3 linked regions of the Arabidopsis thaliana genome follow. The protein of the gene in region 1 interacts with the protein of each later gene in a pairwise test. Each region holds a gene or a part of one and is shown in the gene's direction. Other genes may lie near its edges.

Region 1 (4,542 bases):
AAAACTATTAGCTAATCCACTATACAATTATTTAATCATATTTTAACTTAAAATTACAAAAATTAGGGAAAAATATCTAAGAGTATGAGAAAATCAATTAAATAATTTAATTTAAGAAAAAGACATACAAAATAAAAGAAAATTATTATTTATATAATTAATTATTTAACATTTTATAATATATACAATTAAATAATAAATTACTATAAACCATTAACTTACATTAATTATTAAGTGGACATGTGGCAAATTAAAAGCTAAGTGATGATGTGTCATTCATATAAGAGAGTTTGCCAATTTTCATATATATGATTACACCACATATAGATAATATATAAACTTATGATCTTTATATATACAATATTTATAAAATTACCTACATTTTTGTTATTATTAGTTAATTTGTTATTCTAGATGAAAACTCATCCTACGCATGGGTTTTTGTTTTTAAAATTGTCGGAATATATGATTATGATCTTTTGTTGATTTTGATGTTCATTTTTGTGTGTGTGTTAATGTGTAAGTAATAAAGTCATATCTATTTTATAGAATTATAATTTTTTATAATTAAATTTATCTATAATTCGAAATATCAATTTTACTATAATATAAATATTTATAGACCTATTCTTCAAATATTTCACTATCATAAATACATACAACAAAATTATATGATATATTAATATATAGTTATATTACTTATGTATTTTAAAACTTGCCTAATTTAATTGTAACAAACAATTCTTTATTCCATATATTCTCTCGTTATCTAGTACACTAACCACACCATGATATGCTAGTAATTCAAGTCAACACTTTAATTCTCGTCCCTTGAATATAGCCATATAGAGTCTCGTATTTTTTGTGTGGATATGTCTAATGTCTCGGATGAACATTACGTGAAAAATGTATATCAGTGTTACCAAGTTATCAGAATGCACAAAAAGAAACAGAAAGAAGGTCATATGATAAATCATATTCATATAACGTAATAATAAAAAAATATCCAACTAAAATTACTATTTAATATGAGGTTAGGTAGCAAACATTTAAACTACAACACAAAGTAGATTTTAGCTATTATAAATTGATAACTATTGATAAAAATATTTTTAAAAATAAGTAGAATAAAATGAAAGTAGTATTTGATATATTATTATAATTTTTTATTTATTGAATGTTTTAAGAAAATTTATTTAAAAGAGAGATTATAGAGAATTTAATGCAACAAAAGACTTTTGATTTTTCCTCAATTAATTCTATTAATTTTTTTTAATTAATATAGAATGACACATGTTATTTTCTTATGTGATGATGTGTCACTCCTAGGGAGAGAGTTGGCCAACTTTTATATATATGATTTTCATGATTGCTATTATTTATTGGAATTTCAGAGATTTTTGTCTGCTACTGAACTCAGAATAATAAAGGCAAAGGAGCATGAAAACTTTAAAGAGTATTATGTGTATATATTCGTTGATAGTAGCTGCTAATTAGGACAACTCGTAGATGTTGAAAAGACACTGCAAAGATCTTGAGGACATTGCTTTGGCTTTTTTAGTCTTACATATCAACTTGCTATAACACATCCAATGGGCCTTCGAGTCTTCGACTTTTGACCTATCCGTAGCTTCTATTTATTTTATTCAACTAGTACTACATATAATTTTTGATCGTTTATTATGTAGTCAACAAATAGTTTTCATAAAATGAGAAAAAAAAGCAGAAAGATATAGTTTTCATTACCATAATTTATAGAATTCTGTAACCAAAATTTCTAGACTTAAGTCCATAACTTCCTCGAATTAGGCACAACACAAGAACAAGTTAATTTAGTTCTTTTTCTTTCCATGCTTGAGTTTGGTATTTTTCGACTATCTTTCTGTCGGATGAACTATCGAAAAACCTTATTTTTTTAATGTTCTGTTGTTACCGAATATATAAATCATTTTGTGATAAGATTTTTATATAAATAATTTGGGTTAGTGGTTGGTTGATTCATAATTAGTTAAGCCGAAAATGAAAATGGTAACACACAAAATATTGAAAGTTACAATTATACCCCTGGACCGTTTCACGCAGCAAAATCCAGCAATCCTGGCTGCTTCCCTGACACAAATACACGAAAGTACGAAACGGTCGTGGATCTAAAAAGCACAAAACAGTACACGTGGCATGATCTTTACCGTCCCTAGATACCACCTTCCAATCTGAATATCATCTGATCATTAAGATCTCATCAATCTGAAAGGTCCCACAAATCTGAACCCTTCGATTTTCGATTCTTCCTCGAGCCTTCCTTCCTTCCTTCTTCTTCTCCAAGAGGATTTTGATTGTCTCCTTTACTCTCTCCATGTCAAGTTCTGGTGCTCCTTCACGCAAGGTTCTCTCTCTCACTTGCTCTGTTTATTTAACTTTGGTTTTGGAATTAGGGTTTTTGACTATATTTTGGGAAACTGTGTGTGTATGTAGACTCTGAGTAAGATCGCGACTAATCGTCTTCAGAAAGAGCTTGTGGAATGGCAGATGAATCCACCTACTGGTTTCAAACACAAAGTCACTGATAATCTCCAAAGGTAAATTATGAATTAGGTTTACTTTATTCTTGTTGAGAATCATATAAGATTTAGAAATTTTGTGATGTCAAATTCAATGGTTTGCAGATGGATAATTGAAGTTATTGGAGCTCCAGGAACTCTATATGCCAACGATACTTATCAGCTTCAAGTTGATTTTCCAGAACATTATCCTATGGAATCGCCACAAGTGAGTGTTCTGAATTCTGAAATTGTAACCTGAGTACTTAATTTAGATCAATCATAGAATCTCTGATCTTTATCAAGTTTGGTCTCTGTTTTATTGTTGATTGTCTTGATCTTTACCGAGTTTGGTCTCTGCCTTGTCATGGAATGTTTTGATCTGTCTCGAGTTGACTTGAGTTCTCTGTTCTTTACTTCTTGTTTGCGTTTGTAATGTTTTTTTTTTTTTAAATATTGTACAGGTGATTTTTCTTCATCCAGCTCCTCTGCATCCTCACATTTACAGCAATGGGCATATTTGTCTAGGTATGTCACTGTGTCCTCTGTTTTCTGATACCTTCTTACTCTTTTGTTGGTTATTATCTATCACTTTCTTTACTTGCTGGTCATACTATGTGGTCCGAATGATAAACACACAACTCCTATATTGTATGATCTCTAATATATTAATAATCACAATGTGAGAGGTAACATAAGTCGTTTGTATACCTAAACTCATTTGAAGTCTTACCCGAAGATAAGACCCTCTTCGAAACTCATATTGCTTGAGATTTTGCTTTTAGATCCAAGGGTACACTCAAATTTCAGTAGCTTATTATTTAACATAGGCCTCCTGGAAGAAGTATCTGATGTTGTGTATCATCGTTGCAGATATTTTGTATGATTCGTGGTCTCCAGCCATGACGGTGAGTTCTATCTGCATTAGCATCCTCTCCATGCTCTCAAGCTCGACTGAAAAGGTACTTACAGCTCTTACACTCACCATTAATATATAAACTTTGATCTCTTTGTTGCTGAAGCTGAACCTTCGTCTCGCTTGGCTTGTTTTGTTGCAGCAACGACCAACCGATAATGACCGATATGTGAAGAATTGTAAGAACGGAAGATCTCCAAAGGAGACCCGATGGTGGTTCCACGACGATAAAGTATAAACCTCGATCAACCAAAAAAAATGTAAAATAGTCCAAAACAGTCTTTGAGGTTTGTTGTCTATTTTTAATTTAATTGGGTTTAAGCTGTCCCAAACCCATTTCCAAAATCCGTGATGTATAAAAACAACACAATAAATTTGACTAATTTTGAATCTTCTACTCTAATTTTAAAACCCCTACTAACAAAAGACCCAACCTAATCTCTCTGATGCTTCTCTATTAGGTCATATATATACATCAGGAAGAATATTTCTCAACTACTACTTTCCTCTTGGTTTTGTCCTGTGTCACCATGAAGCCGCTGACGAAGAAGACGACGACGGAGGAAACAAAGACAAAGATGGGTTTTGAAAGATTCTCTGACCAGTAGCGAGTATGTGTCGCGGATCAAACTCAGCCTTTAAGCTTCTGAACCGATCCCACTTGTCCCCAAAATGAGCCACCCACTCTTCCTGTGTTGCGTGGTGAGGAAGATACTGCTTCACATTGATCTTGGCTTGTTCACAGAACTCCAAGATCCGACGGTTCTGATCTTTCAGATACTCTAGCTTCTGTGTCTCTTCACCGTCCGTTAAAGCTGATCTCAATAGAGCCACCAGATAGAAAACTTCCTCATCCGGCGTCACGGCTGAGCTCCTCTCGTCCCATCTGACAATAACATCAAATTACGACACGTCAGCAACGACAATATCTATATTAATGTAATAATCAATGATGTGCGGAGGGTTCGTTGAGATCGGTTTGGTCTAGGAGAATCTGATTGGGACCCACCCACCATGAGTTCTAGGAACTTAAAAACAAATAAACCCAATCTGGACCATCGGATTTGGTCACAAAACAAAAAGAGAAAT
Region 2 (5,452 bases), on another chromosome or scaffold:
GCAATGAAAAAGGATTGATCTTTACTATCATTGATTAACTAATTGTCAGAAAGCAAATGCCCTTTTTGAATTCGTTTCATTTGATGTTGTGATTTGTAGTATTAGCTAGTTTATGATCTGAAACTTACTAATTTCCTTTGTATTATTTTTCAGCTATTGAAGGATTTTTTGTTATGGGTTGAACAAGATCTAGGGCCTTGGGGACCTTTTGCCCTGTAAGTCTCTTTTCTTCTTGTTTCTTGAGCTATGGAGCTAGTTAGATTCTTGCGTGAGTAATATAGCAATGAGCTACACTAACGGTGGTAGCTGAATCACTGTTTCATTGCTAATGTTAATCCATAGATATAGGAACATGAGATTACCTTGGTACTGAACTTCTCTTTTTTTTTTGCGATGTCTGCAGAGCTGTTGCGTACATTCCTCTAACAGTTTTGGCTGTTCCTGCCTCGGTTCTCACGGTATATATACATATTTCTTTTGTGTGTGATATATTTACCGCTATCATCCACTCTCAACTTTCTTTGTTAGAGTGACTGGTTTATCTATAAAATTGAGAAATCTTATTTGGTTGAAGCTGTGATATATTCAGCTCGGTGGTGGCTACCTTTTTGGGCTGCCAATTGGTTTTGTGGCGGACTCAGTCGGTGCTACACTTGGCTCAGGAGCTGCATTTCTACTAGGCCGTACGGTAAGCCACTCAAATTCTTATTGATTTGCAGACACAACCATTAGATTAATGAAGTGACATGCATAAACCACTGACGCTATCCTTTTTTGATATTTTGGTACTTACATGAAAATGCTCTTATGCAGATTGGAAAACCTTTTGTAGTTGCAAAATTAAAGGATTATCCTCAGTTTCAATCAGTGGCACTCGCGATAGAGAAATCCGGCTTCAAGGTTTGCACTGAGAACCCATTACAAGTTTTGTGCTGACACTCTTCTTTTGAAACTTATGAATATGCAAAACTGAATATAGATATGCTTGTTGCTCCGGCTTGCTCCTCTTCTTCCGTTCAGCATGTTGAACTACCTCTTATCTGTCACGCCAATTCGGCTAGGTCCATACTTGCTTTCTTCGTGGTTAGGGATGATGGTAATCTATTCTAATCCACCACTTCATAACGACTGCAAAATGTTTAAATTGTAAGATGGAAATAATACAGCTTGATACATTGTTAATTTGCAGCCAATAACACTTGCGTTAGTGTATGTTGGAACAACTCTAAAAGACCTTTCTGATGTAACTCACAAGTGGAGCGAGTTCTCGCCAGGTCGCTGGGTAAGATCTACACAAATTTTAATTACATTCTCAGCTTCTTGTTTCAATCTCTATTCTGACCTGTTTTCCGCAATCTGCAGGCGTTCTTGATTTCGAGCCTTGTAATATCCGGTTAGTTCGGCATAACTAATGTTACTAGTTCCTTCGATTGCGGCAGAATCACTAATGTTACAAGTTCCTTCTTCTATCTGTTTCTTTGCAGTGATATTAATGGTGTGTGTTACAAAGGTGGCGAAGGACGCTCTAAGAAAAGCTTTAGCAGAGCACGGAGGAGACATGAACGAAGCGGTTGCAGCCTTGCCGGAGCTGACCGTTACTGATGATGCTTCGACGGATTTAAATGAGCCTCTCTTGATAAAGATAGATGCACAACAACCTCAAGACCAAGTAAACCATAGTCATTAAAATTAAGATGATGAATACTTACTTTGTATAATCTTTATTTTAACATACAAAGCTTAGTTTTCTTGGTTTGTATAATAATAACATAGATTAAAAATTATTTTTAAAAAGTTATTTTTCTTAGTAACTTTGAGATGTAATTATTAGTTCACAGAGATTTAAAATATTGGATGAATAAAAAGAAACTAAATGGATTTTGGTTTGAGTTTCTAATTGCTCCAGCTAATCAGATATTTTGTTGACATTCACAAGCATTCTAAACATATCTATGACCTAAAAATGTTACAGGTATCTTAAAAATCTCCTAAACCAATATTCAATGAAGATTGTTGAATACGACTAAAGGTATATTTATTATACACAGAATCTGTTATGCATAAATTGAACCCATCAATTGAATATATGGGTATATTCATAACCAAAATTAGCTTTTATGATATTGGCTCAACTATTTTGGACTATTTAAAATCTCATCTTAATAACATAATTGGAAGAAAACCAAAATTAAGATGAAAACTTGTAAACTTTTATAAATGATCTGAATATAATTTACTAACATAATATTCAAAGTTAAGAACTTGTTGATATATGTGGTCAACTATAAAACACCACGTTTGAAATTCATAAGGTATTAGTTGATTTTTCATAGTTTTTCTCTATCAATAATGCTATTCGAAAAACGTCATGTATGTGTGTTTTCTAGATTTGAACAAGAAGAAACGGTCTTGTCTCTTTCGTTAGACGGTCATGTCTTCGGGAACATCCGATTAAAAAAAAAGTTACACGCGTTGACTTTTATTACAAAAATTGCAGTAAATCTGGCAGTAACTGCGTAAAGTAAAAATAATGTAAATAATAATCTTCACCGGAAGACAAATCTTTTGATCTGACTTTCGTCTCTCTGTCTCTCTTGTCTCGTTTCTTCAGAGGCTATGGGGATCTCCTTAAGCAAGCGTCGACGAGACAACAACAACAACCACCACCATCCCCACCACAATCCGCCGTACTATTACTCCGATCCTCCACCACAACAACCGCCGCCTCAAAACGGGTATAGCTACTCTCACAATTACCCCGTTTCAACTCCACAGCTCTCTCTTCCTCCACCACCGGCTCAGCCACCGTCTTCTTCTCAGCCTCCTCCGTCGCAGATTAGTTACCGACCGTACGGTCAAAACTACCATCAAAACCAATACTACCCGCAACAAGCTCCTCCGTATTTCACCGGTTATCATCACAATGGGTTTAATCCGATGATGAGGCCGGTTTATTTCGGTCCGACTCCGGTTGCGGTTATGGAACCGCCTGCACCTTATGTGGAGCATCAGACCGCTAAGAAGGTTAAGAACGATGTCAATGTGAATAAAGCTACGGTGAGGCTCGTAGCTGACGATCTTAACCCTGGTCATTATCTTGTTTCCTTCGTCTTCGATGCCTTATTCGATGGCAGGTATAACTTCTTCACTCCAAAATTTGAGTCAAGTTTCCGACTTTAGAACCAGAATTTGAATGAGATTGGCTAATTAGCGTAGAGGGGTCTTGTAGATTATACTGAATCTCAAATTTGGATCGTAAAGGTTCAAACTTTACATGATATGACTCATTTATTCAGTGAAAGTTAGGGTTTTTGCTGGGACGAGATTGATTAAAAGGAAACATCTTTACTCATGTTTCAGTTCTGAATTATGTGTTGCCACAATTTGGGATGAAAAAGGTTAAAATTTGACATGATCTAGGTGATGAATATGTGATTGGTTCAGAAACCAAACAATACAGGCTTCAGTTACATAACTGATTGATTTTAGGAGTTATTGTAGTTCATTTAATGGTTCGGAACTACTAAGCTAGTTAGCAACTGAATCAACCTTATTACTCTCCTGTGTTGCATACCAAGTTTAGGTATTAAGATTATCTGACGAGGAGTCTCATTATGTTACTTGTCTCATTTTCAGTTTCACTATCATATTTTTTGGAGAAGAGGAATCAAAGTGCACAATCGTCCCTCATTTACCAGAAGCTTTCCCACCAATCAAAGTCCCTTTCCAAAAAGGTGCCGGGCAGAAGTTTCTACAAGCTCCAGGGACAGGAATCGACCTAGGCTTCTTTTCACTGGATGATCTATCGAAACCATCACCAGAAGAGGTGTACCCACTTGTAATATCAGCCGAGACAGTAATATCACCAAGCTCGGTTTCAGAGGAACCATTAGTTCATAAGCAGATCACTCAAGCGGTTTTGGAGAAGACTAATGATGGATCTTTCAAAGTGAAAGTCATGAAACAGATTCTATGGATTGAAGGAGAACGATATGAACTACAAGAGTTGTATGGAATCGATAATTCAATCACACAAGGTACTGCTGCATCGGGGTTAGAGGATACTGGTGGCAAAGAATGTGTCATTTGCTTGACTGAACCTAAGGACACAGCCGTCATGCCTTGTAGACATTTGGTACAAACTTCTAGCAATTCTCTTTGCTTTCTTCAATTCTTCTAAACGCAATTTTTTTCATTTACTCGGTAAACCTATAAATCGTTGGTAGCGTTTCAGTTATGGAACAAGCAAATTCTGTCATTTTAGACTTGCTTCATATTGCTGTTGATTGTCTCTAAAGCAAATCTACATCAAGTCTTTCACAAGACCATAACTTTTTGGTTGAATTGTCATCAAGACTAAATCATGTTGTGTTGTCTGTTGCAGTGTTTGTGCAGTGATTGCGCAGAAGAACTGAGGTTTCAGACAAACAAATGTCCCATTTGTAGACAACCTATCCATGAGCTTGTAAAGATTAAAGTGGAAAGTAGTGATGAACAACACTGAAAAAGAGGTTTCTTCCCTTCACTTAAACACCATGTTTGATTCTTTCTTCTTCTTCTTTTTGAAAACCGTCAAATCGAATTCTTTTGCCCTTTTTTCTTATACAAATGTGTTTTCTCATGTCATACTCTTGCACATATTTGTTGGTCTTAGTTTTGGGAAACTCAAAGAAAAAAAAGTCAGTAATGTATATATAGCTCCAATGGTTCTTGAGAAACTTTCTCTTTGTATCTTTCTACTTGAAACACTCATTCTGTAACTGAATACTTTTTGGTTTGGGCATTGCTCAAATATAACTTGCAATCATATGTTGTTTATCGTAACGTTTCGGGTTTATAATCTAGAAACCGAACCTCCTAGTAACCACAATTCTATATCAAAAATAGACAGGAAAAATCTGCAAGAGTCTTGGATAGCTCTATGTGTCCCTAATTTGGCTTTCTTTTAACTCTTTCTTTTTGAGAAAGTAAAAGTTTGTGTAGATGAGAAAATGGGGACCTTGATAATTACAAAGATTCAAAAGAAAATAAAGAGAGATGGGAACTGAAGTTGATGAGAACATTCAAAGAAGTAATCTTTTTTTCTTCTCTCCTTTTTGCTTTTTGTCTGTAAAAAAGGCTCAAATAAAAGGAAAAGCTGGTAGGAGATGGAGAATGTTTCCTATTGAAGTTAAGCCTGAGAAAGAAAAAAGTTTTAAAAAAAAAGTGAAGCTTGAGTTCATTCTTTTTGACAGAATGCTCAAACTTTTGAAATGAGGAATAAAAAAAAGTCTTTGTTTGATAGTAGTGAAGTGACTCTCTTTACAAGCAATATTATTTCTCCATACACATTATGATTCCATGTGGTATCATATCTATGAACTATGAAACCCCTAGGGTCTATGTGTGATTGTCTTTGTCTTGTTTTGGACTATATAATGAATTTGAAGTGATACTTTTCCCTTTCTGCCTA
Region 3 (7,127 bases), on another chromosome or scaffold:
AATGCTGAGCACTAACAAGCTTCTTACCAACATCCTGCAACTGCTGTCTTAGTGATACGGTGTAGACTACAATAATTCACCAAACGAATAAACAACAAGACAAAGTTCCATCAAGAACATAAGTAACAAACTTAATCTCAAAGTTGAACATTACCATCCCCAGAGTTCAGCCCAATAAGTAGATCATGTCCATCCTTAGCATCTGGATGAAATGCATGGCACATAGGGTTTGAATTGCTGATATGTATAGACTTTACTGGATCCTAAATCAAATAATTTCTCATAAATGTGACAAACAACCAGCAGATCAAATCAAATCTTAAGAAAACAAAACGAGTAGAGGTAAGATTACCTTGTCCTGCGAGTTCAAGTCACTAATAAAAATAGCATCACCAACATTGAAGACTAAGTAAGTTCCTTTCCCATCGAAATTTGTATTAGTAGCTGAGGTATTAGAACTAGAAGCAGCGAATGAGGCCCCAATCCTTGAACTTGCACCCACATTTTTAGCCCCTCCATTACCTCCAACAAAACTAAGCGCACGGTTACCATTCCCACCACCCAATAACCTTGCTGTTGCTGACCGGAAACCGCTACTAGCTGTGGAACTTGACGAGGTCCCAGTTGGTGTCGATGGAGCAGGTTTATCCTTAAGGTGAGCTAGAGTAACCTGACACCAAAATTTCACAAATCCATTCTCAGAAACCACTTTCAAAACATAAAAATGAAATGTGCATTTGATATTCTTACACAAAACCTAATAGCAATTTCGTAATAGCAATCACAAGTGCAAAGAAATCAGATTGGATTAAACTTTCAATTCAAAAATAAACACCAAAGAAAACGAATCAAATCTTCACCTGAGTAACGGTTTTGCCATGAGTGTAGTGAAGAAGCCCAGAGGGATGCGTCTTCTCGTAGTGGAGCTTGTACTTTCCTTCAGGCGTCTTGAAATACGTTTTGATTCCCGGAGACTGAGGATTCGCCGCCGAAGCTGACGAAGAAGAAGGCCCAGAGATCATCCCATTCGAAGTGTTCATCATATTTGCTCACTTGCTCTTTCTCTAATTCACAAGCTACTTAGAGCATCCGATCATGTCCCTCCCAAGCTAGGGTTTACCCTTCTCCCACTACACAAAATCCAAAAATCTTCTCTTCTTCAATGCAAATTTCTCTAAACTCTGTTCATCATCGTCGCCAAAATCAAAATGGAACTTTAATACTCCTGGATTCGCCAATGGCTACTGGATCAAAAAGATTAATACAATGTGGATTCCGATTCGCTTCCTTTATTGCTTTCTTAATCATCCTCTTAACTCATCAATCAAATTGACTATTAATGGATAAAATCAAAGTCATCTCGATCAACGGTCAAGATCCCTTTAATCTCTGAGTTTCTCGAACCCTTTTGATACGTACAGCTGAGGCCCAAGTACAGTCCAAAAATATAGGCCCATTACTGAAGAACCATAGTTAATTAATAAATTGTTTAGTCGACAATAAGACAGTGAACGGGTTTTACCGGTAGCCGGTGAAGTTGGTCAGAGAAGGGATTAATGTCCCGGCAACGTCGTAACTCAACCGCTTTAATTTGATTTTTCTTAAATATAAACCGATACTCTTCATCGCTCAACCATCACCAAAAAAGAAAGCAATTTGTCTTCAAAACATATTTCTCTCTCTAAAACCTCTTTTTCATAAAAGGTTGCGTCATCTATACGAATCCATACGTCTCTTTGCTTTTCTCCGATCGGTCTTCTTTTCTCATCGCCGGAACGCTTTGGTAATGTTTCTCATTTCTCCGATCATTATTGTTGTTTCGCCGTTGAGCTGATTATTTCGTGTTGGTATGTATAAACAAGCCGATCGTTGTTTCCTTTTTTCTCTTGTGATTGTGTGATGATGGATTGTTTCTTTTTTTCGGTTTAATCCGGTTTATTCCCGGTTTTGCTGCTACATCGGTGACTTTTCCCACAATCTTCGGGTATGATCGCGATCATGTCCGTTAACCGGAGTCGGTTCTGATAATTTCAGACTTCGAATTTGTTCTCTTTCACGTAGTTGTTAGCTTTTTAAGATTCCGATACTGAGAAGAGACCAGCTCGGTGATTAGAGGAGATGTTGTAAGCTTTGTGTTTTGGTTAGCTGTTGATAATGTTGTTCAGGCTGCTACTTCAGCGATGCGGGTAAGCTAGTTTGGGATATAGTGTATTAGCATAACCTAGGCTTAGCTGGTTTGTATCCTGCAGGCTGCAGGTTTAGTGGCAATGGTGGTTTCTAGTTCTATCATACCTTTCTCCACCACGAACCTCTGGTAGTTGAGAAACTGGAGAAAAGCCTAATCAGTGATTCAAGTGTTTGGAAGATTTGAGAACTAGTACGGCTATAGTTTCAGGTCAGAATTCATCTTCCTCTTTGAGAACTTTTAGAAACTTTGAAATTATGGCATCATTCTTAAAGAAATTGCATTGATAACACATTTCAAACAGATGTTAGTTCCTCATGTTAGCCCATTAGGATTGGTGGCTGGCCTATCCTTGATGTATTCTGATTTGCGGATTGTGTTGTGGACCTTCTTGGTTGATTGGGAAAGCAAAGCGAACTTGAACTCAAGTCATCTAGAAGTTATTCTGATCCATAGGGGTAAGGAAATAACCATAACTAGTCTCTGCCATCACATGTGTACCAGAGTGTGTTTAGTCAGTTGAAGATGCTTGAGGTACGGTATCCATGAGTGGGGAACTTCAATCTTCCTAACAAACTACATCTATCATATAATGGTTTCTAGAGTGACATGCTGTCACGTACAAGCATTTGATTTGGATGCACAATGATGTGAAACATAATGCTAATTTTAAGAAAGCATCCTTTCACACAAGCCCGAATTCAGGAGTCTATTAAGGTGTGCTGGTGGGTTTGAAGACAATAAGAGCGCAGAAATAGTAAATGAGGTAGTAAGCCTTTGCAGGCTAGTACTTTTGTGGACTAAATCCGTTTATCTAAGGAAACTGTAGTGTATTCAATTTGTGGATCAGAGGAGAAGGAATAGAATTTGGTGTTCTCATTGTATTAGTGAAGTCAAGGGCCTAATTGCTTCCTGTTGGTCTACTTTAAAGGTGTGCAGAAATGATGAATCAGTGATCAATCAAGCACGACGGCTTTATCACTTGGGTAGTGTAGTGTATTCGTGGTTAGGACTTTCTAAACCTATATCCTTCTAGGATTATTTGCCTGCAGGTGCACTTTTGAGGGTTTCGGTTCAGAAAAATATTTTAAGCTTAAGTCCTGCTATTGGATTTTCCATGTAATTTTCTTGCTCATGTCATCTATGGTTGTAAGTTTAGTGAAATACATGTACAAGGCCTTTACTTGAATATAAACGAAGAAGTAGTACATTGATAGAAACTGAAAAGATGATATCAAGTGTTACCTATTTTGCATGAACTTGCTCTGATGCTCTTTTATGCGGATACAGTATATGATAATTTGCCATCGTGCCTTATTCTTTCATCCTCTTCTATTTCCTAATCAGTTTCCTATAGACTTTTCTGTAAATTCTATAGACTTTTTGAAAGTGTGTAATTTGATGAACTCCTTGTATTACTCTTCACTTTTGATGGCTCTGGTTTGGAGAGTCGAGAACCTTAGTGATACTTTAAATGCAAAGGCTTCTTAGTTTCCCAACCGTGCTTGTTTTCTGCCTCTCTTTTCTTTTGGTTTAAAAGAAGTATGTCTGTTGTTATTGACAAACTCTTCTATGTAAGTTTTTCTTATGAACTAAAAGATCTGTACTATTAAGGTTTATTTTTCATGTATAAGCATCATGAACTTTCCTGCAGCACAGAGCCTAAGTCCACAAAAACTTGTTTGCTTATGATATCATGAGATCTGAGGTATATAATATGGTAGGTACATGTTACAAAGGTAATGGTACTAGAGCTTGAAACTATGGACTGATTTCTTATATATTTACTTGGGAAATTTGGCTATCAGACTGAAAGTAAACTATGTTGGTTGGAAATTATAGATTTTTTTTTTTTCTGAGCTTGCGGATGTTTTCCTGGGATTTTGAATGGTGAGAGAAATTTTTGTGCAGGTTTAATGGGGCACAGACATTTTCTTGGTTCATCCCAGTTTTTTGATGATGAACATGATCAAGGCTGGAATCATACACACCCAGAACATCCATATTCGAGTCAAGGTAATTAGTCCTTCATTCTATAGTTCCTTAATCTGTTTTTTATTTATTGAAATTTGGTTGATGATGCATGTTTAGTTTTAGGGTAATATGTTCCATATTTCTGATTAATTATTGTCCATCCCACATTTTCTCAGCAACATCTGGGACCAGTGAGAACAGATCACATGTTTATCCAGCAGAAAACATGTTGAATGAAGGAATGCCAGTGTCTTCTCATTGGAACTCTTCTCCAGGACCAAATGCTTATACTGACTCAGGTCATAGTGTGGAGAGACCACACTACAATCCGGGGGTTTCGGGGCCGTCCCATGATCCTTCCGTGAATTCAACAGTTCCAACTTTCTCTGCTCCACATGAGAATTATGTGACATTTGCATCTTCTTCAAGCTACAACAGCCAGACATGGTCAAATGCTAGTTATGTTGATCATCAATCTATGGAAAGTGTGAGAGGAGCACAAAAGAGAAAACGACCATGTCCTTCTTCCATCTATGAAATGGGTAGTTCAAGCCAATATCACGGTGACAGAACTCCTGCAGACACTCATTTCCCCTCGGAATTGCACTTGGGAAAATCAATAACGCATGATCATGACCCTCATTACATGCCATGGCTTATGAACCCAACTTACAGAAGTAATAATCTCTCGATCAGGGGAGAGAGCTCTTCAAGGAATGTCCGGAGTCGTCCTACACTTGATTCAGAGACCAGCTTAGGTAGAAATAATTTGCCAAGAAGCTTGAGCCTTGATTCTCATTCTACACACCACCACAGTGTTGATCATTATGGCTCAGGTCAATTTCCTGGTCAGACATCTCACGGAAATAAAGACTGGAACTGTGCTAGATTGTCCCCAGTTCTTAGAGGTATGCAAAGTTCACTTTGTCTCGATATCTGAATCGTCTTTGTTTCTAATAATCACATTAATTCCCACTTTGCAGATATAAATGGCTTTAGTCCAGAGACAAATAATTTCCTTCCTGCAAGAAGTGTTGTCAACAGCTTATCTGTTAATACTTCCGGCTATCATCACCATGAGCTTACCGGAAACAGAAACCCTACAGTTTCCCACGGGGTTCCTGGAACTTCAACACTATCTACAAGCAGCAGCCGCTTCTCTCATAGGTCAACATCCACCTATAGATCTTCTTCACACGGTTCGCGATCGGGACATGTAGCATCTTCTTCTGGAGACAGGTCTCATTTGGTCACTGAGACTTATCCGTCTAGGCATTTAAGGCCACCACCACACATTTCATGGCGTAGCGGTGATCGGCCAGGGAGACGCAGAAGTTCCTATGAGAGGTTTCAGCCTCCTTTCGATGAAGTTGCTCTCCACGAACGGTTTTCATCTGAGGTATATATTTCCCTTACAGATGCATTATTTAGAGTGGAAGTCTGTCTAAATTACATTTAGTATTAAGATAAAGATCAAGCCGATATGATACAGTGCATATCGAATATTAAGATATAGATTTGCAATCTTATCATTTTCTGCTGCATGCTGAACTGTAATCTGTTATTTTTTGGGGTGTATGTAATAATAGGAATTCATGGTTGAAGATCGCCAACCACAATACTACGGATCCAGAAACATGCTTGATCACCACAGAGACATGAGGCTTGACATCGATAACATGAGCTATGAGGTTAATAGCCAAACACTTATCTTTTGAAGCCTCACATAGGCAAAACGAAAAGTTTTGGTACTGACATATATATGCAGGAACTCCTTGATCTTGGAGAAAGGATTGGGAGTGTCAACACTGGTCTATCCGACAGCGCAATCTCCAGTTGCTTGTTAGCAACAATGTATTATCCATCATATCAAACAGAGGAGCAAAGAAAATGTGCAATCTGCCTGGTAAGATTTAGTTTTTTTTTTTTTTTTCACAACCTGGTAAGATTTAGTTGTCTGAAACATTATGTGTCTATAAAGTTAGAAGTAGGCTAACTTAAGGGTGATGTGGTAATTGGTAAACAAATAGGAGGAGTACAAGGAAAAAGAAGAGTTAGGGGAAGTTAAGGGGTGTGGTCATGACTACCATGGGAGGTGCATCAAGAAATGGTTGTCTATGAAGAACTCTTGCCCTATTTGCAAATCCCCTGCTTTACCTGATGCTTCTAAGAACTCATCATAAATTATAGGTTATCTTTTATGTGTGCATGTTATATTCATTTGTCTTTCGAAAGGAAGAAAAATATGTGACAGAATATAACATTAAGTTTTCTTAGTGATTAATAGTTGTAAATAGAAGAAAGTCCAGGATCTTTCTCAAGGGTTAATATATATGTTAATTATTGGAAAAGGCTCTCTTTGGAAAATCTGGATTTGTTACAGATGCAAATAGTTACACAACACTTCACACTATATGGTATTTCATCTTCAAAGAGAAATAAGATTGACAAATAAAGAGATGATATAGTCCTTGAATTTTCCTTGTGGATGGGTGAATTCTTCACCGGTCCTGTAGGTCACATCTATCATTTTTCCAGCATTAGTGGCCCGTGATAAGATATCGCCTGATATTATCTTCCTTGACTTCAAGTACACTTCGTTCACTGACTTGGCCGTCTGGATTTAAGCCACTCATAACTTTTTCTTCTAGCAGTTTGTACCAACCCAAGAAAACTGCATGAAACAGTTACATACATTGACACCTCAACACCACCAATCTCCAAGTACTCATCGAATGTAGGCACGATGTCTCCTTGTGCCCACTCTGCATAGCTAAGGTTGGCCTTTGAGTATAGTTTGAACTGCTTAATGTTTAGGAGCATATATACAAAAAGATGTTATGTCTATGATAATCTCTTTATGTCGACCGTTATTAGTGAGGTACTAGCTAAGATACTATTACTCATCAATTACATCTTGTAGACTAGCTAAGATAGTTCTTTTTTGCTCTATTCGAAAACATCCCAA

The links.
Region 2: the proteins of UBC16 (region 1) and LUL3 interact in a two-hybrid assay, tested with the Arabidopsis thaliana proteins (one large-scale study listed by BioGRID).
Region 3: the proteins of UBC16 (region 1) and AT2G37150 interact in a two-hybrid assay, tested with the Arabidopsis thaliana proteins (one large-scale study listed by BioGRID).

What each region holds. Positions count from the first base shown.
Region 1 is NC_003070.9:28,311,270-28,315,811, forward strand, and holds UBC16 (ubiquitin-conjugating enzyme 16), read left to right. Parts: upstream 1-2,109; 5' UTR 2,110-2,353; coding exon 2,354-2,383; intron 2,384-2,472; coding exon 2,473-2,576; intron 2,577-2,663; coding exon 2,664-2,766; intron 2,767-3,001; coding exon 3,002-3,065; exon of another isoform or gene 3,066-3,410; coding exon 3,411-3,499; exon of another isoform or gene 3,500-3,595; coding exon 3,596-3,691; 3' UTR 3,692-3,853; downstream 3,854-4,542. Other genes in the region: CKX5 (cytokinin oxidase 5), read right to left, coding at 3,979-4,339. UniProt on the Arabidopsis thaliana protein: Accepts the ubiquitin from the E1 complex and catalyzes its covalent attachment to other proteins.
Region 2 is NC_003076.8:6,375,784-6,381,235, forward strand, and holds LUL3 (RING/U-box superfamily protein), read left to right. Parts: upstream 1-2,365; 5' UTR 2,366-2,616; coding exon 2,617-3,134; intron 3,135-3,636; coding exon 3,637-4,135; intron 4,136-4,384; coding exon 4,385-4,504; 3' UTR 4,505-4,822; downstream 4,823-5,452. Other genes in the region: AT5G19070 (SNARE associated Golgi protein family), read left to right, coding at 154-215, 404-458, 590-688, 814-900, 980-1,096, 1,190-1,282, 1,363-1,393, 1,485-1,687. UniProt on the Arabidopsis thaliana protein: Acts as an E3 ubiquitin-protein ligase, or as part of E3 complex, which accepts ubiquitin from specific E2 ubiquitin-conjugating enzymes and then transfers it to substrates (in vitro).
Region 3 is NC_003071.7:15,602,963-15,610,089, reverse strand, and holds AT2G37150 (RING/U-box superfamily protein), read left to right. Parts: upstream 1-2,489; coding exon 2,490-2,643; exon of another isoform or gene 2,644-3,881; coding exon of another isoform or gene 3,882-3,924; exon of another isoform or gene 3,925-4,096; coding exon 4,097-4,201; intron 4,202-4,335; coding exon 4,336-5,067; intron 5,068-5,142; coding exon 5,143-5,558; intron 5,559-5,748; coding exon 5,749-5,850; intron 5,851-5,927; coding exon 5,928-6,065; intron 6,066-6,189; coding exon 6,190-6,342; 3' UTR 6,343-6,509; downstream 6,510-7,127. Other genes in the region: AT2G37160 (Transducin/WD40 repeat-like superfamily protein), read right to left, coding at 1-66, 155-263, 353-757, 861-1,043; AT2G37140 (Terpenoid synthases superfamily protein), read right to left, coding at 6,761-6,964, 7,108-7,127.